Linked DNA regions of Astyanax mexicanus. The protein of the gene in region 1 interacts with the protein of each later gene in a pairwise test. Links are inferred from orthologs where the notes say so. Each region holds a gene or a part of one and is shown on either strand. Other genes may lie near its edges.

Region 1 (12,234 bases):
TATCTCTAACATAAAATATATATTTTATATAACTCATGCCAGTCTCTATTCTAGTATGTAAATGTATCTTGACAATAATTCCGTTTAGTTATGATTCTTTATTTAAATGTACAGTACCTGATAAATCTTGAAAATGTTTCTTTTGAGCTTATTTTAATACAGTTCAGTTTTTTAATAACACATCAATGTACAAATGTCACTGGAGACTGTTTTAACAACAGTGGAATATAGACTTTTGAAAGAATGTTATTTTAAGCTTTATTTATTATCTTTTTTTTTTACTTTGATATATTTGGAGGAAAGCACATATTTTGTTGATTATTATTAAAATGAATTGTTACATAAAATCAGATAATTGCTCCAGTCTGATTCATATTTTATATCCCTTGTATTTTTAGATATTTTTTTATTAACGTAAAAGTTACTGACACATAACGTATCATGAGACTAGTACAGTAGAAGAGCAGAGGCAGAAAAGCATGATCCTGCCGCCCCCATGTTTAACAGGTGTGATGAGGTGCTTATGCCCATAGTTATTTGAAGTTTTGCTTTACATTGGAAGGCACTGAGCTTGATCTTCAGTTTGGTAATCAGATAAAACACAGATTCACAGGTTAGACCATAATATATTGCCACTGTGCAACCATTGAATGATCTCATAGAAGGATGTACTGGTAACAAATATTAAACATCCTCCAACAGTTTTTTTTTTTCTAACATGAAATCACTTGACAGCCAAGTACAGATGTTTCATGGTTTTTAATATAACTCACTGTCCTTACAGCTTTCCCTATACTGCAGTAAAAAAAAAAAAAGAATTATGAGACTGTGTATACATGACTTTTTAGATATTCAGATAACAGCAGAAGTCTGATCATGACCAGATTATTGAGTGCATGTTTTTTTTTTTTTTTTATTAAAAAAAACTTTTAATATCAAAAAGGACATCTCTTGTGAGCAGGTATCCAACATCTGAAGCAATAACTATGCATAAACACATGTATACAAAACAAAACAAAAAAACTTTATTGCCATATGTACATACAATATGATACAAAAAAAGCATTTGTGAATATAAGGAATCAGATTGAAATGTATTATACACTATGGGTCAGTTTTCCATACAGGGATTAAGTCTAGTCATAAGATAGATTTTCCATATTCACATCTGCCCCATGAAGGCTATTTTTAAGTCATTATATTTCCATCTCAGCAATTAAGGGATTAATGCAAGCTGCTTTACCCAAATCAAACCAAATTTTAACAAGTTTACTGAATGTAACAATACAGATTCCAGTTGATGACATGGATTAAAGTTTGGGCTTAATCATTGGTTACCAATCGTAGTCCTGGAGGACCACTGCCCTGCAGGTTTTAGGTGTTTTCCCCTAATTTTAACCCACCTGACCAACTAATGAACTAACAGACGAGTCCTTGCTTAAACAATCTGTGCATTCTCAACTCAAGACCTGGTTGACAAGCAATGATTTAAATAAAACAGCATTTTGTGTCAGAAACTCTCCCATGCTTAGATTAACTGGTTACATGTATAAACCAGAAAGTAATAAATCACTGTCCAAAAATCAAGGGAAATTGAAGTTTGCATCTTGTGTAAGTTTATAAACATGTCCACAGCATGAAATTAACCCTTCATTTAAAGTCCCAAAATTTTCACTTAATGGTTCTCTGATCCTTCTTCATCTTCTTCCTCATCCTCATCATCATCTTCATCAGAGTCTTCTTCACTTTCACTGTAGTGAACCGTGGCTCGGTTTGTGTTCACAAAAAGGTCACTGTCATCCTCAGAGTCACTGCCGCTGCTCTCTTCTTCCTGCTCCTCACTGTGGTCCTGTCCGTTCTGTGGTTCTTCCTTTACCTCCTCAGACTCGCCACCTGCCTCGAAACCTTTTGGCCTGTATGACACATTAATCAGTTTAGTATACTGCCAAATTTTAGATCAAAGTACATTTCTATTATACAGGTATACTGGACAACAAATGTGAAGTCACAAACAAAACCTTTAGATTAGACTCACAGTTAATTATGTATTTATCACACACAGAAATCAGAATGTTTAAGTTATGTTATGCTGAGCCATGGAAATTCAGTTTCTGGTTTCTTTATGTACTGGTATTAACAGATATGTGCAGAAAAAAATACCAGTTTACACCAACCCACATAAGTTTCCATCTCTATTTACCCTGCCAAAATATAAACAAAATGATATCTACTGAATGACAATATAGACCAGCCAATCAAAGGAATCTACATCCCAAATGTGATCATTTTGTACTTACCAGACACCCAGTTTCCTCAGGTACTGGATATGGTCTCTATAGAGTATAAAGCTTATCTCTCCTTTCACTTTGTCTCCCTCTTCAATAGGGTCTACGATCACAAAATCACCTGCAAGAAATAACACAGCCAAAAAATGATTTGGTAAATATTTTAAAATAACCTTCTTGGTCCCTGCTTGTCTCAACACACCTGATTCAACTCTTTATAGAGTTGTTTTAAAGCAGGGAATCCTCTAAAATGTGCAGGGCAGGGGTGTGCCAGGATCAGGACTAAGAAACACTAACACATTTTAAGAATTCTAATGGAGCCAGGCCTTAAAACCAACCTCTTTTGATCCAGATGTTCTTACGAAACTTTGTGGGCATGCTCAGCAGAAACTTCTCACCACTCTCAGTTACGGCCTCATGGAGGTTGTTGCCATTGCTTCCCTGGATCTGCAAGAGAGAGATTACACTTTAACTGAATAAAGAGTTTAAAGAGTTCTTATTTACAACAGTGCGCTGTTCTTCCTACATTATTTATGAGTAGAGATATTAAGCTTGCCCTGGCTTACCCTCATGATCTGCTGGCTCTCACTGGGTGTTACGTAGTCTTGAAGAACCTCCTTGACAACATGTTTGCGTTTGGTTGCTCGGGACATGTTTGACAGTGAGAACGGTGATATCTGATGTCTGTGAAAGTAAAATTATTTAGGCAAAAATTAGCAAAATTTGCAACAGCTCTTCACAGACCCACTTTTTTTTTATTTAGTCCTTCCAAAAATGCACTAAATTGGCAAAGGCATTCATTCACTCATCCAAATCATTGAACTCAATGTGTTGCTCTCAGGAGCTCAGTAAATTCCAGCATGGTACTGTGATAGGATGCCTCCTGTGCAATATGTCCAGTCGTTAAATTCCCCACAACTAAATATTCCACAGTCAATTGTCAGTGGTGCTATAACAAATGTAACAAAGTGCCTGGGATTGACAGCAACTCACTTTGTAAGTGTAAAATAAAAGATGGAGCTCAAAAGATGCTGAGAAGCATAATGTGCAGAGGTTACATCTTTCTTCAGAGTCATTCACTACAGACCTCCAAAATTAATGTGGTCTTCAAAATATATGTGTGTAATATACAATGTACGTAATAAACATGACAAAATATTTTAAGGTATTTCACTATTCTTTTTTACAGAACTAATTGTCAAAACTAGTTTTATAGAATGGAAAACATTTCATTAAAGCTGTAGAATTAAGATAAATGGAACAGAATTAAACAAAGCTATATATATATATATATATATATATATATATATATATTAGGGGTGGGAATCGATTACTATCTCACGATTCGATTCGATTCCGATTTTGGGGGCCACGATTCGATTCAAAATCGATTTTTGATTCAAAACGATTTGAATTATAAAAATTTCTGCTTCTGGCTTATGAATCTTATTGAAAAAAAAACCCTCCATAATATACACTGGTCCTGGAGCAAGTAATGTGTTACAAAAACAATAAAATGTGCAGGAATGTGGGTCCTCAGTGACAGAGGAATCACTGGGATATCACAATGACGTTAATGAACAATAAATAAATAATAAATAACACTGCTTTATTACCAGGCTACTAGCGGTGGTGTGTAGGTGACGCTGCTGGGCTGATGTGATGATAGCAGTGGAGCGCTAAAGTTCAGGAGCAGCTGCTGATTAACTAGTTAATTTAAGGTCGTTGTATTTCTTCAGAAAGGGGGCAGGAGGTGGAGAAATTAATTCATATTGTCCATTCCTTAATTCCTCTGTGATGAGGAGCTGAAATGAGCTCTGATTAGCTTATTGTTATTTTTCCGTTCCGCCTTAAATGCTGCAGCCCGCAGCCACCTGTAGCGTTATTTAAGGTGGAACTGGAAAGTTAGCTTGTTAGCTAGCTAACAGTTACTGAAACTAACTACTAGCGATCTTTTTTATGCTTGTTATGAAGCATTCTGCCATAAAACATTAAAACTACACGTTAATCTAAGGTAATATAATGCTTGTTCTGCCATCTTACCGGTGATTCTCAAACACCTACTACGCTCTGTGTGGGTCTGGAAGACCTCGGTTTGAAGGGACAAGCGGGTTGCCAGGTCCAACAAAAATACCCAGCCCAAAATCAGTCCAAAACCCGCCCCTCAGAATCGATTTTGGGACATTTTAAATCGATTCTGAATCGTAGTAAATGAGAATCAAGATTCTTATGTGAATCGATTTTTTGGCACACCTCTAATATATATATATATATATATATATATATATATATACATATACATACGTGTATATACACACACACATTTTATCTACCTTAAAAATGAGCTAGTTTTATCTCCAGCACTAAACCAGCACACCCCTGTAAATAAGTTTTCCCTCACTGTCCTGTGATGCTCTCAGGATGTTCAGTTTGTGTCACTTAGGGACTTATGAGTTAAAGGACAAAAAAGAACTTCAAGGAACTTTACACATCTTTTAAAGATGCTGTGTCCCATACATCACCATGGGTACTTCTGGGATATTTGAAAAGGCTTAATTATAGTTATATTTCTTAACTAAAAGCATCCAGCAACTGTTCTGATTTTTTAAATAATTAAATAAGAAATTGATATACAGCAAACTGTTCCCTTAAATTGATTTCCTACCCCCATATTTACAAATCTTGTTCACAGCTGGATCTGTAGCCTAGCTAACTTCTTCTCTAGCTAGTGAACTTCACCCAGGCCCCAACATCAGCTTCTCCTCTGCCTAACACAGACGACAGAAGACGTTAAAGATACAATTATAATAATCTACAGATCTGTGCGAGAGAATATTTAATGAACAGTTCTTATAGAACACTGCAGTTCAAACTGACGTGCCAACAGAGAATTTACTAGAACAGCTAGCTGCTGGTTAGCCGCTTAGCTAATAACATCTTAAAATAACTGAAAGAAACAGCCTAAACCCACTTTCCCTCCAGAAAATCGTACATTTTTAAATCCACCTACCTAGAAACTCTATATAAGGCTGTGAATGTGTTCTGTGTGGTTTTATTTGGTGCATCGAGAAGAAGTGAACACGTCCTGTAGCTCCTGAACGCGTCGAGCGCATGTGCTGCTCGTTTCCTGCGGCTCCCGTTTGTAACGTGCGATAGCCTTGTGGGTAATGTAGTCAGAATCAGGCGCTCAAAACTACAACGCTCCACATTTTTCTGTAATTACAGCTCTGGAAAAAAATAAGAGACCACTTCAGTTTCTGAGTCAGTTTCTCTGGTTTTGCTATTTATGCTATTTATATGTTTGAGTAAAATGAACATTGCTGTTTTATTCTATAAACTACGGACCTTTCTTACAAATTCCAAATAAAAATATTGTCATTTAGAGCATTTATTTGAAGAAAACGAGAAATAGCTGAAAAGAAAAAACAGATTCAGAGCTTTCAGACTTCAAATAATGCAAAGAAAACTAATATATCAAAATGACTTGATGTCATTTTGATATATTAGTGTCTGAAAATAATGACGTACTTTCTCAAAATAATGATTTAGTATTTCAAAATAATGACATACTTTCCAAATAATAGTATCTCGAAATAATAAATTAGTATCTCAAAATAATGATTTATTATCGAAACATAATGACATACTTTTAAAATAATGAGATAGTATCTCAAAATATAAATTAGTATCTCAAAATAATGACATACTTTTAAAATAATGAGATAGCATCTCAAAATAATTAAATAGTATCTCACAACATTGACTCAGTATCTTAAAATAATGAGATAGTATCTCAAAAAAAAAGAATACTTTCTCAAAATAATGAGACAGTATCTCAAAATAACGAAATAGTAGTCAATATTTTGAGTTACAGAAAAATAATCCACGCCTTTGAACCTGTGTGGGCGCTACAAAGGCAGAAATGACCGCAATAAAAGCATTTTTTAAATATTAGGATTTTTTTATAAAAAGAAACAAATTAAGCAGGACAGGTATGTTCCATTAATTTAGAGGAGCACATTTCAGCTATTAATTAAATAAACATATGGGTTTAGTGCCTTTTTAATACTGAAGACATTAAAGATACACAGGAACATATAAAAGTAGTCAGAGAGTTCTTCAAATTATTGTTGCAATCCAAAGAGTTTATGGAATCCTGTAGAGAAAAAAAACAACACAAACATTTGGGAGATTTGGAACTTTTATTCAGCAGTTTGTTCTAACATTTATGACCATGGACCATGCTTGTCAGTCTTTGAAACCATGCAATAAACAGCATATATTTGCAAAGCAATCAGAAACACATAATACATTATTAATAGTATTGTGCTGTACTGAGTAGTGATGAGTCATGACCTTTGAATACCTTTGAGTTACTTAAAGTGCATTTTAGACCAACAGCAGTTCTGAAGTTTATTCTCAGTTATCATGAAAGAAATACTGCACACATCTGTAAACATTCAGCCCATATCTTCACATTTTCCTATTTAAAATGTTCAGCACACATATGGAGCACCACAGGAGGATATTAATGAATTAATTATTAGTGTTATTAATAACCCTGACTAAATGAAAAAGCACTCAGCAGTGTTTAATGTCTGCTGAACAGCTTCCAGAATCAGTAGCATTACACAGTCCAGCGAGCCCAATTATGACACAGCAATACGGAAATTAATTTCACCCTCTGAATCATCAACACCATGAACTAAAAAAAAGAGAACAATCCCCCCTTCATAAAACCCAGAAGCAAATATTTTCTACAATCTCACTCATTTCTTTCATCATTTCTTCCTGAAACATTATTTAAATATAAGTTTAAAAGTTAGCTCACACAATTAGTAAATAAAAACAAAATAAAACATCAGTATCTAAAAAGATTTAATCTAAGACAATTGTTAAAGAAGGTTTCTTTTTCAAAGCAACTGACTTTATGTAGATCAGCAGGTTGCATGTTCTGTTTGTAACAGAAATAAGAAGAGCTGCTGATGGATCAGCTAAGTTTTCTTTTCTCTCTGCTGGTCCCCTGTTTAAAACAACCAATTCTAACCAATCTAAGCACATGTGCTAACTGTGAGCACAGGATCTAAGTACAGGTACACTGTAGTGCTGTAAAACCTGTTTTTCCCACTAAAACCTCACTGACTAGTTCATGGTTAAAACAAACAAAAAAAATCTAAGCAAAGAACATTTGATCTAGGGCTGTCATTTCTCTTGAGTAACATTTTTAAATAAAACATTTGTTAATTAAAAATAAAGCTGATAGCTGTAAACTGCATGACAATGGAATTTGATCTCACCCATGCCATATCATGTTTTTGGTGTTTTTAAAAGCATCCATTTCATCCTTAACTATTTATGTTTTTGATAATCTGAAATTCCTTTCTTTGAAAGTCCTTTTCTTACTGATTTGCCATAATTACTTTGGTATTTGTCACAATAATTACTAATTATCTGTTACTAATATAGTCTATAGTGACATAATAGACAGTGACAGACTAATTTACGATTGGGGATTGGGAGCATTTAACATTAAAATAAGTACTTGTTCTGTCTACATTCTAGAGTCTAAAATGCTGCATATTAAATATGAGTTTAACAAAACGGTGAGATGGTGAGAAGGTGCTACACCAGCATGGTCAGAAAGGACCATCACAGATGGGTGAGTCTGTGGGCAAAATTGCAGGTGTGAAAAAGCCTATTGACACTATTTTTTTAAACGAAAAGAGGCATGGTAATCCTCCTACAATAACATGCCCTAGAGATGAATACTTCACAAGTCACAGCTTGAGCTAGTGAGAACAACACGCTGATGATGCTAATTATATATGACTGCTTGTGTGTACGTGTGTGTGTGTGTGTGTGTACGGCCACAAATATCCACTTAAACGAGAGTATTATTGTTAATGTGTATGAATGAACATGTTCCTGATTTGTGTTTGTGTCTGTCAGCACTGTGTACACTCTAGAGTTTACTCCTAGTTAACCACCGCAGACGAACACATCTTGTTGATTCCACACAGTCTGGATCCTTTGTACAGGTAGTAGTAACCCTGAGGGGAAAAAAACAAAAGTATTTTTATTAAATTATTCTTAGATTTAATATTAAAATAAAATAATTAGTAAAAAGATTCTTGCTAGAATTACCTAGCAAATGTATTACATTTTTAACTATAGATACTGTAGTTGAGCTGTAGTCAGTAGAAAAGCTACACTTCAGATTAAAGGAAAGGGCCAGCTCAGGGCCAAATCAGGTCCAGCGTGAGACTCACCTGCTCTCCATAGTCTTCTCCCCAGCTGTTCTTAATGGCCCAGAAGGGAATGCCATTGCCTGTGCACAGGTACAGACAAATGTTAAACTTGTGAAGGAAAAATGCACATATTTTCTATTCTAGTTACCATACACTCTATTTAGAACTGTATATTTATTTGACAATAGTGGAATAAGGAAAATATCCTTAAACATTATAGTATTATATAATATTAGTAATTGCTGTACAAGTGTTACACACGTCTTGTGTACTCTTACTACACAAGACGTGTTTGAAAAAACCTGCATGTCTGAACAAAAATGCATCCCGCAGATATGGATGAAGATGAGGATAGTTGTGAGATTTAGTAAATTGCTCTTTGGCAATTATATTTCCTAATATTTTTAATATAAGAACTTTAAAAGGGCATGTCCAAATCTAAAGGAGTTTAATCAGAAAAAAAAACTGACTAATTGTTTATCCCATTTTACACAACTTTTTTGCTGCCAGTAATTAAAATTGTGTGGACATGTCATGGTTAATGAACAAACACAATTGGCTTAGTATAGCGGACAGCCCAGGACTGACCTGCTCTCTAAAACAGGTCTACAATAACTTCAAATACAATCTTGTTGCATTAACCTACATCATACTTTGAGGGTCAGTTTCTCTGACATGGATTAAGGCTAGTCTTAATTAAATGAATTATGTGACTAGGCTTAATCCCTGTCTGAGAAACCGACCCTAATAGAGATTTTTAATTCTCATTTTCAGTTATCATTTCAGAGACACAACATTTGTTAAGACAGAAAATGTAGTCGAGGTTTTTGAATGTCAATTTCACAAGTAAAACTGTTACAAAAAGAAATAAAACAGCTCTTACGTTCTCCAAATCCAACCAGCAGCACAGCGTGATCAATCATCCAGGGGTTGCAGAATATCTTCAGGGGGTGAGAGACTCCTTTTCTGTAGAACTATAACAACATGGACAGAGTATAAAAGCAGACTGTATTATTTTACTGTTCATAAAATACATTATATTAAGGGTTAGGGCTTGTAGATTAAACACAAACTATGTCGCTATTTAAACAGAGGAGAATTTCAGGATTTAGAACAGTCCAGACGGCAACCAAGTAAACTTCCCATAGCCTTTGACCCACACTGTAAAATGTGCACATTCTTATTATAGATTAAGTCTACAGCTACATTAATTTTAAATCCAATATAATTTTATGGTCAAACATTACAGTTTAACACAACATCCAAACAAAATGGCAACACAGTGGAAGAATATCGGTGATATCAAGCAATAATAAGCTAGAAGTTACCTGCATGGCAAAAGCATTGAGGGCAGCTGAAACAGGGCCGTTCTCAACCAGCCATGCAGCAATATCTGAAACACACAATCGAAATTGTTAGATTACTTAACTTTCTTATTCAAGAAGTTATTCTTCTTCTACAATACAATGTATTAACCATTATTTAAATTTTAGGATGTGGTGTACAATACATATAAAAGTTTATACTCTAGGCATGCTTTTTTGTGATACATTTCAAATTGGTGTTTGACTCCACATTTGTCCTTGTGTTGTTTACAGTTGACTTTACTGCACTTTTACTATAAAACTTTAGCTGTCAATTTAAAGCAGACTAAATAAACTGTCAAATAACCTGTACTGGACTGTCTGGGCCTCATTTTCACTTATCTATGCATTTGAGTACTAGGGCAGTTTTGACTACTGTATCAAATAATTAAAAAAAACATTATTGATTAGTAATGAATAATTCTGAAATGATAATGATGAATTATCATTTTGAATTTCAATATTCCTTCTAATTATTATATTCTGTCTAATTATGACTATTCAATCAGTAATACTATATATTAATTATGACAATTTATTTTAAATATATACTACAGTCAACCAGATACAGTGCATTGATTACTTGATTCGTTGTGATAAGGACTGGATTACCAGCCTACTAATATAATCAAAAGAGACAGTCCTACACATTTACACCTATTAGTTTCTCTCTCTCTCACCATTCTCATCCTTGGACAGTTCTACTGAGCTGTTGATGTATGCCGCCACTTTTCCAGAAGTAAAGCCACAGCTCTGCTTGTGTCCGGTGTAGGTGTAGTCTGTCTCAGTCTCCAGACCTCCTGCAAAGGCATCAAGACAGGTTAGCAATTTTCTATGAGGCAAAAACACTTTCTGTGGCATTATGTTTATGCTACTTTACAAATGACCTGTGGGTTTCTTTCAAACTGACCTACTCTTCACCTTTTAATTTAAATTCTTACCCAGGTTTTCAATAGCTTCATATGCATTAGATGGAAGTCCACCCCCACAAGCCTGGTCCAGTTTATCACAGTCCACCAGCTCTGTAACAGACAAAGTCATATACCACTTATGACATATAATTTTTACATAAACAAAATCAAACATGGCAGTATGGTGTAAAAATGTGAATGTTTCAGAGTTCACTAGTGTTTTTTTTTTCTTACCTTGCTCTGAGAGGGACAACAGCTGTCCAGTCTTTTTGAACCACTGGCCTTCAATGTTTCCAGTGACAGAGAAAGCCCAGCAGGAGCCACACATCCCCTAAAACACACACATACACACAAACAAACAAACACATACACACATCAATCATAGTGAATATTATGCAGTTTTTGGAGCTGCCAGTGATTGTACTTGTCAGACTAGTTTTCACTACAGAAATTGTTGTGTGGTTAAGGCAAAGGGTGAAATTTGTGTAACGCATGCATAAGGCTTTACACAATTTGCTGTAAATTCCTGAGAAACAACATAATCTAACAAAAAAAATAATGTAACAAAAACATCTGTAAATATCACACTAGTAAAATGCAGAGATATTGCAATAATTAATAATTTAGGAATCCAGTTTTGGGAAAACATTTTTTTAATGACATTTTTCATGCAATTCCATACATGACAACTACAATGCCTGTATAGTAAAGCCCCTCAGTGTAAATTGGTTGGTTTTACAACTGATATCTAGATGTATTATTGGCAAATCTTTACTTTAAGATGCAAAGCCCTTTATGAATATTTTTACCAAGACCAAAAGTGAGGCTCATAGTTTTATATCTGCCCTCTGAGATGAGCTGATTATTAAATAGAAAGTAAACAAAAAATGAGTGCACATATGTATTACATATATAAACATGTGCATATAAATAGTATTGCTTTTCATGCTGATTTTAAACTGAATTTACTTAAACTAAGCAGCAGGTAAGTCTGTGTCTCAAGCATGGGTCTTTATTCATTAATGACAATATTTGGTCCAGGCTTAATAGCTTAAACTTTCTAAACTCACTAATATTTCCAGGACCTTTTTTATCACTTTCCACGAGTCTAGAAAAACGTCCAGGCTTTTCAGATCTTCCAGTGCTTATGGGAACCCTGCTAACTGATTCACCTGGCTGTGAATTCTAATAAGGTTATGAATGAATTCATTTAAATATAGGAGTCCAGTGATTCATCAGCTGATTTATAATTAAAACCTATGCTCCCAAAGTTTCATCTGGTAAAAACTATTCCTTCAGGTTGATTCATGTTCCCTGACCTGGTTCTTGACGGGGCTGACGGCTCCGTGCTCTCTCCAGTCCCAGCTCTCTGCTGCTGCTTTGCTGGCTGGGGCTGCTGGCTTCAATTTTTTCTGCAGGCTCCACT
Region 2 (12,004 bases), on another chromosome or scaffold:
CCACAGATCGAATACAAGGAAATCATCAAGGAGGTGATCAGGTACAAGACTGACCCTGAAACTGAAAGAGAGCTGGAGAAACTCAGAAATGAAATTGTGGACAAGACCCATCAGACAGAGAAGTGTGAACTTGAGATCATCCAAATGAGGGATGAGATTCAGAGGTGGAAAGACACCAAGCCTCAGATTCAGACCAAAGAGGTGGTTAATGAGGTCCTCCAGTACAGAGAGGACCCTAAAACCAAAGAAGAAATTGAAACCCTTAAGCGGAAACTTGCTGAGGAACAGAGGAAGCGTTTGGACCTGGAGAGAGAACGAGCCTCCGGTGAAGAGAAGATCAGGATTAGGAAGATTGACTTGTCTCAGGTTAGGGAGAAGGTTGTGCAGCAAGAGGTGGTGAAGATGGAGCAGGATCCAGTCTTGAGATCTGAATGTGACACCTTCACTGAAAAGATTAACAATGAAGTGCGACAGAGGGAGCTCTTGAAAGAGGAGCTGGTCAGGCTTCAACGTCTAAAGAATGATCTTGAGCTCCAGCTGGAGGAACTTGAGCGTGAACGCAGAGCCCGTAGAGACGCTGAGCTGGAAATTCAGAGGTTGAGAGTTCGGCTCAATGAGCTGGAGATCAGGGACAAGGAGAACAGAGAGAAGGTCACAGTGAAACAAAAGGTGGTCCTGCAGCAAGATCCTCAGCAGGAGAAAGAACATTCCATCCTACGGCTCCAGGTTGAGGAAGAGAGGCACAAGCGCGTCCTTCTGGAGAAAGAGTACAATGCTCTGATTCAGAAACAAGAAACACTCGAGAGGACAGAGGTCCGCGAAAAAGTTGTCCGCACAGAGAAGGTTCAGGTCGAGAAAGATCCCGAAGCTGAACTTGAAATCGAGAGGCTGAAGAGAAGCCTTGAGGAAGAAACAAGACGCCGGCAAGAATTGGACCTGGAGCTTACCACTATCACGTCCAGACTGACCGAAATCGAGTTCACAAACACAAAGTCGTCTAAAGAGCTGGACTACATCCGTGATGAGAGCAACAGACTCCAGCAGGAGAACCAACGTCTCCAGAACGAAATTCGGAAACTTCAGGCTGAGATCCAGATCACCACAAAGGAAACCAGACAGATCACAGAGTCTCTTCCAGTGGACAGCAGCAAGAACCTTGAAATCCGGGTAGCGTCTCTACAGAAAGAGCTGTCTGACCTGAGACGCATCACGACAGAGAAAGAAGAAGAAATCGAAAGGCTACAGAAGAACCTTTCTACAGTAAGGGTGAAGAGAGAGCAAAGAGAAAGCCATCTCCGCCGCTCCATTGTCGTCATCGATCCAGACACCGGAAAAGAGATGCGGCCCGAAGAGGCATACAAGCTGGGCCTGATCGACTGGAAGATGTTCGTCAACCTCCAGAGTCAAGAATGCGACTGGGAAGAGATCACCAACAAGGGTCCAAACGGGGAAACGTCTGTTCTTCATGACAGAAAATCAGGCAAGAAGTTCTCCATCGAGGATGCCCTACGGTCTGGAAACATCACAAACCGTCAGCTACAGCAGTACAAGAACAAAGAGATCAGCATCCAGGAGTTTGGCGTCATGATTTCGGGGAAGAGCAAATAATCACCCAATATGTTTTTGTCTAGTTTTATTTTATTCTGACACTTTACTTCTTTAAAGTTCTTATTATTTTCTGTGGGTTTTCAGATTATAGAGACAATAATATCACCTGTCTGTTCTCTGCTTTGGTTTCTGATTTTTGAGCTAATAGGGAGAATATCTAGGCTAAAACACCTTTTTGTTCTTCTTGAAGGCGTTCTGATTGATCGGGCTGAGTGTTATCTGGGACTGTCCTTAACATGTTCTTAATAAATAGGCTACTTAGCGAAACCATCCATTTTCAAATACAGCATGTTTTGTATGCTACAGTACGTCCTCATGACACTTTGAATGTTCCTTTATTAACCACTATCAGATGAACCTGTGTTTCTACTGTTTTTCAAAATAAAATACATGTGGGCAAACTGGAGTACCATGTTTTCATGTCTTCTTTCTGCATTTGAAGGTTACCCATATATCAAATTATTATCAGTAGCAGAGTAAATAATAAAGATGAAGGCTTGGACTACAGTAAAGGTCGGGGTGATAAACTTCTGGTAAGAGGGGTGTTCAAAGTAAGTTTAAGTTCACAGAGAGGAGTGTATGTAAATGAGGCCTTTCTGACTCGTCATATTACTAGGTTCAAATATAATATATAGAGATGGGACCGATCCGATACAATATCGGGGCCGATATTGACGTAATTTAACGAAACGTAAATCAGGCGAGTGTGTCCGATCCACTTACCAATCCATATTCCAGTCCACAGCTTGAGCTGGAAAATAAACCCGCCATGATGTTAACACAAAACGCATCACTGATCCGGATTCCAGTTCCACAGTTTACCCTGAACCCCCAGCAGCTTCAGTCTGCGGCTGACTGAGTAAACTTTAGCTGACAACTGTATTCTGGTGTTGTAAAGGTATTAACTACAAACTGGATTAAACTATCGTCATAATTCAAATATTCTATAAAACCACAGGATCTACAAACACTAACCAGCACAAACACACCCATCTGTTGGTAAAAACAGCAATTAATTTAGTTCGGAAATACAGCTGGCATCGCCAGTTAGCTGTTAGCCATCTCCATTAAGATCTGCAGTCTGTTAGCCTAGCTAGCATCGGGCTTTCAGCTGCTGTCCGGCATTGTGAAGGTAATAATAAGTAACTATCTCAGGTGAACTTCAGCCATAATCCACATCGAATATCAAACCACAGATCCTACCCACTCTAACCAGTACTAAGAAATAGGGGTGGGCGATATGGCCCTAAAATAATATCACGATATTTCATGGCATTTTCACGATAATGATACTCTTGGCGATATGACAAAACACTGTATTAAAAATATATATTTCAAGAATACACTCCTGCAACAAAATTACAATTTTGTAATTTTATTATTGCATACGAAAAGGCATGATATGGCACACCCCTAATTAAGATATTTAGAAGTACAACAATTTTATCAGATTTATAACAGAAGTCAATGATCCAGAATGTCATGATAATAATAATGCACTCCATATATCCAGGACTAAAGTAAAATAAATGATATAATCTGTCTCTAGTAGATATATAATGAGAAATGAGAACAGTCTGAATTTTCTTTTAGGGGTGGGTGATATGGCACGATATTTCAGGAAATAATACGATATTCAATACAATATTCAAAAATGTTGACGATATTATCGTGTACGACACGACATGGCACACCCCTACTAAGAAATCAACCTATGATTAAAAAACACTGTTAACGTCAGTTAGCGTCGCCGGTTTGCCGTTAGTTATTGCAGCTAATCTACTACGCTACATGCCATAATAAAAGTCTCCTGCGCAACCAGTGCAAATAATTGGTCTCAAGCCCTGTATTTAATATTTAACATATTTAATATTTAACTTTTTTTATATATTTAATAATAAATCTAATATTTAATTTGAAGGAAAACTTGTGTTTGTACAAAAGTGTTAATGTGTCAAATAAATGACATTAAATGCACTTGTGTATACTCTTCAAAGGGATGTGTGGTCTGTTTCAGCCTCATTCATGCAGAGAGTGTCATGTAAAGTACTATCCTCTGTTTTAAAAGGATATCAGTAGCAACTTTTAATTTTGTGTTTCTTACCCTGAAACTCTGCTCCACTTTTTGGTTAGTTTTACCTATATTTAGTCAATGTATTGTTTAGCTCCGATCATCATAAAAAGAATACAATGCAACAATATTACATTGTTATTTTTATTCTTATTTAGGCAAAATATCATATATACAAGTTATTTTATTAATTCAAAACCTTAATTTATCATATTTTAAAAAAAAAGCTATGCAACACAAAAAAAAAATATTCTCTCAAAAATAATGGATATTTGTGTCAGGTTTGATATTAGTATTCTCCTCACTAAGGAGCCAGTGGCAGAAAATATTTAAAAAAATGTCTTGTTCTTTATAAATATAATATAATAGGACTCTCTGAGTTGTATATGATGCTGCACATGAAACTCTTCCTCAATCTCCATTGCCATCTACGTCAACCCGTGAATTAGTATTCATGGCCTTGCCCACCTTGTCTCACGACCACCCACAGGCAGCGCAGAAGCCAACACAGCAAAGCACATCTTGTCAAATAGGAACTAACAGCGCTAGGAAGAGAATGGCAGTTTGTTCCTGTGTTATTTGTGCAAATAAAACATCAGTGTTATATGCTTTGCCCAGTAATTCAGATCTATGCAACAAGTGGTTGGAATTTGTCTATGGAACACCACCAATTAAGTACAATGGAGATAGGTAGGTGTATGTTTAAAACATTTCTGTTTACAATAGTTTAAAAAAAAATCCCATCCAGGGTGGATTTTTATTTTCTGGACCTGGACTACCAACCTCCGGTGGATTTTGCTAGGTCAGTGGCTGAGAGACAGAACCTTCTCCCTGAACCGGTTCCGGGATTGGCGCTAAGAGATTTAGATTGGCGCTATGAATGAACACGTGGAGTTATAAACTTAACAAAAAATGACCTGGCCTCCACAGTCACCGGACCTGAACCCAATCCAGATGGTTTGGGGTGAGCTGGACCACAGAATGAAGGAAAAGGGGCAACAAGTGCTAAACACCTGCTTCCTTCAAGACTGTTGGAAAACCATTTCAGGTGACCACCTCTTGAAGCTTATTGAGAGAATGATGCCAAGAGCATGCAAAGCAGCAATCAGAGCAAAGGGTGGCTATTTTGAAGAAACTAGAATATAATTTTTTATATTTATTTATATACTTTTTTTGTTAAGTACATAACTCCACATGTGTTCATTCATAGTTTTGATGCCTTCAGTGAGAATCTACAATGTAAATAGTCATAAAAATAAAGAAAACGCATTGTGTGAGTTTATGTATATATGGGTATGTACGTACATATTATTATAAAATCAATTAATTTATACACTTATTAATATGCCAAACCATGTCTGTCCTATTAAAGGTCTTATTAAAGAGAAAAGTGTACAGTATTTCAGCACAAAAGCACATATTTGTAATGTATAACAGCGTCCTAAATCAACTACATATCTGCTGTTTGTAACAAACCAAAATGGTGAAAATTGGGTATAAACTGGTAGATTTGTGATTTTAAAGGCGTATTAAATATCTTCCTCAGTGTAAATTAATGCAGTGGGGGCGCAGGGCTGCCTCCTCCAATATGGCGGACGGCGTCAGTCGATGTCTATGGATGTATAAACCGGTTCTTCCAGTGGCGTTACATCTAACTAGCCGTCAAAATAAAAGTTATTACTATATTAGTATTTTATATATATATATATATATATATATATATATATGGTTTACAAACCACTTTATTGTACAACATTGCTGAAACCGATTACGTTACTGCATCTACTGCAGCATTTAGACAACACACAGCACATTTACACTTTGTAAATATTAAAAGTATAATTTTTTTTTTTTTTTGAGAAATTACAGATGAAGATGTATGGCTAAACCACATGGCAACAATGCCTTTATCTCTGCTTAACACGGGAGTAAGTTTCAGAGCAGTCATTGCTAAGATGACAATAAAAAAGCTACAAAAAACAGTGTGTATATATATATATATATATATGTTATACCGTGTTTTGAAGTTATATAGCAAAGTATTCATTATTTGTTATTATTATTATTATTATTATTATTATTATTATTATTATTGTTATTATTAATATTATTGTTATTTTCATTGTTTTTATTATTATCTTTATTATTAGTAGTAGTAGTAGAAGTAGTAGTAGTTAACTCTGTAAATATATATACACTGCAGTATTGTGTAACAGTAAAAGGTAAAGGTTTCTTTGTATGTAATGCAACCATGATTATACGTTGTTTCTATGTTTTTCTAAATGTTCTAATAACTTAAAATAAAAGAGCACAGTTTAACCGTAATATTAACACATTACCGCTAAACTAGCGTGCCATAACTAGTTGCGTGTAGATATCGATGGTCTCTGAAGACCCGCCCAGTGGGATATCTACGGTAGTGACGTGTGTGGGTGTGCGTCTCCCCTGCGCTCAGTGCGTCTTTAGTAAAGGGTTAAGATGGCGACGGTGCATCTGCGGATCGGGGATTTGGTTTGGTGAGTTTTTGCTGTTGTAAACTCGCTCTGTTCTGCTGTGGAACTCCTTTAGCGCCCGGGACTCGTTAAACACGCCGACTTTGTTGCTGTTTTGACGGCGCGGACTGCTTTAGGCCAAAGGCGTTCAGCAGCAGCAGCCGCGAACCCAAACATTGAGAGGGGCAGTTTTAGCCAGCTGGCTAACGAGGCTAACCTGCGGAGTGAGCGCTGGGTCCGGATTACCGCTGTAAAACAAGACACCAGCCCTCTAATTTTAACATTAATGCATTATAAATGTGTTTCTGGTGGCTATTAGTGGTTCTGTGGTCGGAATGCGGGCCTGTGGGCAGTGGAGGTGCTGGGCTTGGCTTGCTAAGCTAACAGCCAAGCTGCGTTGTCGTTTAGTAAAGCTGGTAGAGTTGGCTTCGTGGGTTTTAAATGTTCCGTTCCACCTTAAATTTTAGTTAAATCCGCTACAGTCTGGCTCCTCTGGCTCAGAATGTGATTACTGTAGCGGTGTCATTTTAAGGTGGAACGGAATATTTAAAATAAAAAAAAACTGTGCAACATGAAGTAACTTTGCTCCTGTTCTTATGTGTTTTCAAGCTTTAATTGAACCTAACCTCCCTCCTTGTCGTGTGTTTTAGGGGAAAGCTTGGCCGGTACCCTCCTTGGCCTGGGAAGGTACGTTCACTCTATAAACTGCTACCACCACTCCTCCATATCTCGCCCCTGTGGCTTTTAGTGACTCTACCATCATCTATAGCTTCTGATCCTGAAACCATCCTTCTCATTACAGGTTGTCAGCCCCCCAAAGGACCTAAAGAAGCCCAGAGGCAAAAAATGCTTCTTTGTGAAGTTTTTCGGGACTGAGGATCAGTGAGTACAAACTTATTTTTGTTTAATCTGTTTTTGTTTGTGTCAAATAAGTGTATGTTCACATGAGATATTCCTCATTTCCCTACAGTGCCTGGATAAAGGTTGAACAGCTGAAGCCGTACCACCCCCACAAGGAGGAGATGATCAAGATAAACAAAGGCAAGCGGTTTCAGCAGGCTGTTGACGCTGTCGAAGAGTACCTGAAGAAAGCTAAGGGGAAAGAGCAGGTAAGTGTGACAAAGTGATGGACAAGATGATAACCTCTATTTTGCTTTGCAGTGAGAAATTAAGATCAGAACTAAGGTGTGGTGCTCTTTTAAAATGTATTAACACATCTAATAGGGGTGCACACAGTTTAGTACACAACTGTATATGCATAGTCTCACGCATTTAAACAGGACCACCCACTATGTCGTAAAGACTTGGACATTCACACCTGCAGATCCTGAATGATGAGATCCCGTTTTCTTTACTCCCTGGACTTGGCATTTTTTTTGTATAAACGCAGCTTTTTATAGTATAGGGTAGATTTTGCCTCTTCTGAGGAATTGTAAACTAAATCCATTGCTACAACATTCTGATCTATTCAACGTTTTTCAGCTAATTTGTTTAGGAAGTGAGATTGTATGTCAATGGTCATTAACCCTACTTCTTGAGGCCAACTGTTCAAGGTAGTTTTGTGCTTTGCTGATCCCAGCACACCTAACCAAGCTAATTCACCATTAACAAGATCTTACTTAGTTAAATTGACTGTAAATAATAACATAAGACGCAACATGTGCCAGTCATTGGGACTCCAGGACCAGGGCTGCTGACTGTTGTTTTGAAGTATATGAGAATGTGATTTATACATAGATTGTGCTAAATGGAGCTCTGTTATCTGCAGTAATTTATTTGCTTTTAAGAAACACGAGGAGGAAAATCAAATGGATGATAAAACTGAAAGAATTTCTCATTTAGCTGTACTTATTGTACTTATTGTATTGTTATGCTAATTTGTTTAATTTGTTTCTTTTGTCTTTTTTATCCAAGGTGATCTACTATCGACAGTGTACATCATACACCCAGAAACTGTTATTATAATATAATTTAGACCCGCATTAAAAATTGCATCAAAACATTGTCCATGTCTCATTGAAACCCCTCTTAGCTCATCTTGTTGTTCATTTTGCAGGCACATGCCTCAGACGACAAAAATAAAACGGACAAGGGGCGAAAAACTGCAGCCAAACCTATGAAGATTATAGAGGAAGATGATGAAGATGCATTTAAGGGTGGATCTTCAGACAAGGTTAATACTACTGTGCTTGATCTTTCAAACCGGCCACATGCTTTAAACTTTGTGCGAGATTAACCTGCTGTAGGTCTCAGTCAAATGTTTACTTCTGGGACTTATCTGAATTGCCATATTCACACATCATCGCTTGATTGCTTTTGTTTTGTTTTTGTATTTTTTTCTTTTTTTTTGGCCTATGCAGTTTGAACGCACACAGGGCTGTGTGTTGAATGAGCAGCTCTGCTTCTTGCTTGAGGCTTTATTTAGCAAGATATGGTCAAGTCTAAGTATATGGTGAATGTATCTCTCTTTCCCTTAAGGATCAAACTGACTCTGACCCAGAACCGTCCTCTGTGCAGCGGGTGATGGCTGGAACAGTTGCAGGATTCAAATGGGAGAGCAGTGTAGGTGATAAATTCACAGTTTGCCCTGATTAATCTGCACTGTGCTGTGGAAGCCTGTTTCTGGCAGGTAGGAAAGGGGGGAAATTGCTTGTTTACTTTTCCCCCTCTCAGTTCCTGGCAGCAGTATGTCAGGTTTATCTTATGTTTGAAGTTTTCATCTTAAAGTAATGACATTTTCTCAAAAGTTTTCCTTTTATCTCATAAATGCTGCTCGAACATAAATCCAGGTATGTTTTTAGGTCCCACAAAATGAAAATATGAGCAAAGGAAAATATAGTGAAAAACATATTGGATATTGGTATTGGAAAGTTTTTTGTGTGCCATTTACATTTGTAAATATTATAGTATAGATTTAGTATACGTGTTTAGACATTCAATTTATTTACTGAATTTCACAAATTAGTTAAGGGTGTGCGAATATTGTATTTAATGTGCCATTACTTTTTGAACATAGCATATTTTGATTTTAGAATAGTTTTTGCAAACCTGTTCAGTTCAATAAACAACAGTAACACTGTGCAGAAGTGTGTCCTTGTAGAGGATGCACATCCAAAATAATGTGATTTATTGTTGCAGCATTCTAAAATAAAACAATGATCTGATTTGCTTGTAAGTCAGCATAAAATATTAATTAAACTTTAAAATAAAGCTGTTTAGCTGTATTATAAATATGAAGGCATGTATTGTTTAAATCAGGGATTCTTAATCTTTTCAAACTTAAGGCCCACCTGTATATAATTAGAAAGCATAACAGGCCACAAGAAGAAAAACTTGAAAAAAATTATGTATTTGTTTTATTTCTTTGTAAACGTAAGAATTGGATCTGAACAATTGCTTTAAAGATATTGTTCATTTTAGTTCAATCACAGAAAATGTGGGAAGATGTTAAACAGAAAAGCAGAAGTTATTTTAGCTTTTACTCCAACAAGAACATTGCTAAAAGAACACGTGAACTTTAAGCATTTAGCAACACTCGGCACTAGTTTCCACATCTGTGATGAAAATAAATATACCTTTAATCAGCCTACTACTTTTACTTTTTAAAGGTGTCATTTTGCTAGAAAGCATTTAGTTATTGCTCTGTTTGAAATACCTGTGGCCACCCTAATTTGCCTATTTATGTTTCACAAGCTTAGATTAGGCCCCAAAAAAAATTCAGTCCGACCCTACCTGAGCCTGTGCACGTTCTGGATGGGGGAGGAGGGGGTTGAGAGTCCTAATGAGTGGGTTCGGTATCTGACTGTGCAAAATGGGGGAGAAAATGAGAAAAATTTGAAATAAATGTATAATTTTTTTTTTTCTTTTCAGTAGGTAGAACATTTTTTTACACTTCAATTCCAAGTTGTTGGTGCCAGTATTTACTGATTTCTGGTGCGTGATTATTACGTTCTAACTTTCACGTTCACGGTTTTCCCATCAAATTGACCTTGTTTAAAACTATAGTTGTGGGTGAAAATTCAAACAAGATCTGAAGTAATGAAGGAAGTTTATTTGAGAATCAATTAACAACACAGTTTAAGCTTTTGTAGGTTTAAACATAATTTAAATATTAGAATACGAATATTTTTGCTGGACATGGCAACTCTGTTCCTAGCTGTTTAGAAAGAGGAGTGCACCAGGTGGCATGGGAGTTGGTAACGATGTGTTTTCCTCATTAAGGTACTGAAATTGTGTTGCCAAAAACTGATTAGGACACCCCTGTTTGTTAAATTAAAATGATGACTGATGTAGTTTTCTGTGCATTATAATACACAATTACTTTTTATTTGCAGATATTTAGTTCAGCAGATTGTGGAAAATGGAATTTTTTTTTAATTGAATGATTCATTTTTATTTACTTTTTTTTGCAAATTTTATTGATAATGGAAATTGTGACTAAAATGTGCAGAACAAATGTTAAACATTTACAACGTTTAGCAAATTAACATGACTGCAATCTTTAAATCTTTAATATTTGGTCAAGTCAAAATTAAGAGAAAACCTCAACATTTGAGAAAATGTCATTATTTGTTCATGCTGCTGGCAGAAACAGCAGGGCTGAACACAGGTGTTTTGTTTCTTACCTGCCAGAAATAAACTTCCTTTTTTTTTTTTTTTTTACTGTATTTATAAATTTAACAAATGCAGTTTCTTTTTTTCTGCTTGTGGGACATAAATGTCATTTAGTATAGTTACTTGAGAGCCAGGCCTTAAGAGCCAGTTAAGCTAGAGTATAATGTAGGGAAATTGTGACTAGGCTTATTCCTGATGTGTAAACTGTAATTAAGTGTTTTAATGTATAGTCTGTGGTCTCTGCCATGAAAAACAGCTTCCTCTGGGATTGTAGTTTTCTTAGGATTGCGGCGTTAGTGTAAGAAGTCTCTGTGTGTTAAATGTTATGCCCCCCTCTACAGTACTAAAACTGTTTGTATTTCTAATTTGGCAACGAAGTTTAAGTAGAGTTTAGGTTTGTGAGGTTGTTAGCAGAACGTTTGATAATGTGAATATACCGTATTTTTCGGACTATAAGGCGCACCGTATTATAAGGCGCACGATGAGTGAACGGTCTATTTTTAGTGTTAGTCCATACACAAGGCGCACTGGATTATAAGGCGCACTAAATGAAACTTTATTTATATCAGTAACAATAACTCTGAGCAATAAATCCTTCACAATATCTGTGAAAAATAACAACATCTCTGAGCAAGAAATCAACAAGCACAGCAAGTACGTATTACTCCGCGAGGCTCCTGACAACGGTAGCCGCAACGCTCCGACAGACCATAATATTATGTTGAAGCACAGCAAGTACGTATTACTCCGCGAGGCTCCTGACAACGGTAGCCGCAACGCTCCGACAGACCATAATATTATGTTGAAGCACAGCAAGTACGTATTACTCCGCGACGCTCCTGACAACGGTAGCCGCAACGCTCCGACAGACCATAATATTATGTTGAAGCACAGCAAGTACGTATTACTCCGCGAGGCTCCTGACAACGGTAGCCGCAACGCTCCGACAGACCATAATATTATGTTGAAGCACAGCAAGTACCGCATTACTCCGCGAGGCTTCTGACTATAATAGCGTGTTGTGCCGAATTCGGTGAATAAAACGGTTTTAAAACAGAGATAAAGATTGGATAAGTTTCATTTCTGGATGAAGTGATTTCCAGCGCTGTTTGGATATAACTGTGGATTACAGGAGACTGGATTGATGGATTGTCTTTAGTCTGGACGCGTTTTGAAGGTAGGACCTGTGGCTGAGCGCGGGTGTGTGTTCGGGGGGTGG

What was found.
Region 2: the proteins of eif1ad (region 1) and glyr1 interact in binary tests that used the Homo sapiens proteins (3 or more experiments, as listed by UniProt). The two-hybrid records come from large-scale screens. The link is inferred for Astyanax mexicanus from reciprocal best matches to the Homo sapiens genes EIF1AD and GLYR1.

The regions. Positions count from the first base shown.
Region 1 is NC_064417.1:37,668,196-37,680,429, reverse strand, and holds eif1ad (probable RNA-binding protein EIF1AD), read right to left. Parts: upstream 5,438-12,234; 5' UTR 5,296-5,437; intron 2,970-5,295; 5' UTR 2,939-2,969; coding exon 2,852-2,938; intron 2,733-2,851; coding exon 2,624-2,732; intron 2,407-2,623; coding exon 2,298-2,406; intron 1,914-2,297; coding exon 1,676-1,913; 3' UTR 1,004-1,675; downstream 1-1,003. Other genes in the region: ctsf (cathepsin F), read right to left, coding at 8,261-8,335, 8,555-8,613, 9,417-9,507, 9,862-9,926, 10,578-10,697, 10,839-10,919, 11,043-11,139, 12,128-12,234.
Region 2 is NC_064426.1:14,525,279-14,537,282, reverse strand, and holds the start of glyr1 (putative oxidoreductase GLYR1), read left to right. Parts: upstream 1-6,096; 5' UTR 6,097-6,157; coding exon 6,158-6,195; intron 6,196-6,821; coding exon 6,822-6,858; intron 6,859-6,973; coding exon 6,974-7,053; intron 7,054-7,141; coding exon 7,142-7,280; intron 7,281-8,227; coding exon 8,228-8,344; intron 8,345-8,649; coding exon 8,650-8,733; intron 8,734-12,004. Other genes in the region: ppl (periplakin), read left to right, coding at 1-1,608. UniProt on the Homo sapiens protein: Cytokine-like nuclear factor with chromatin gene reader activity involved in chromatin modification and regulation of gene expression. Acts as a nucleosome-destabilizing factor that is recruited to genes during transcriptional activation.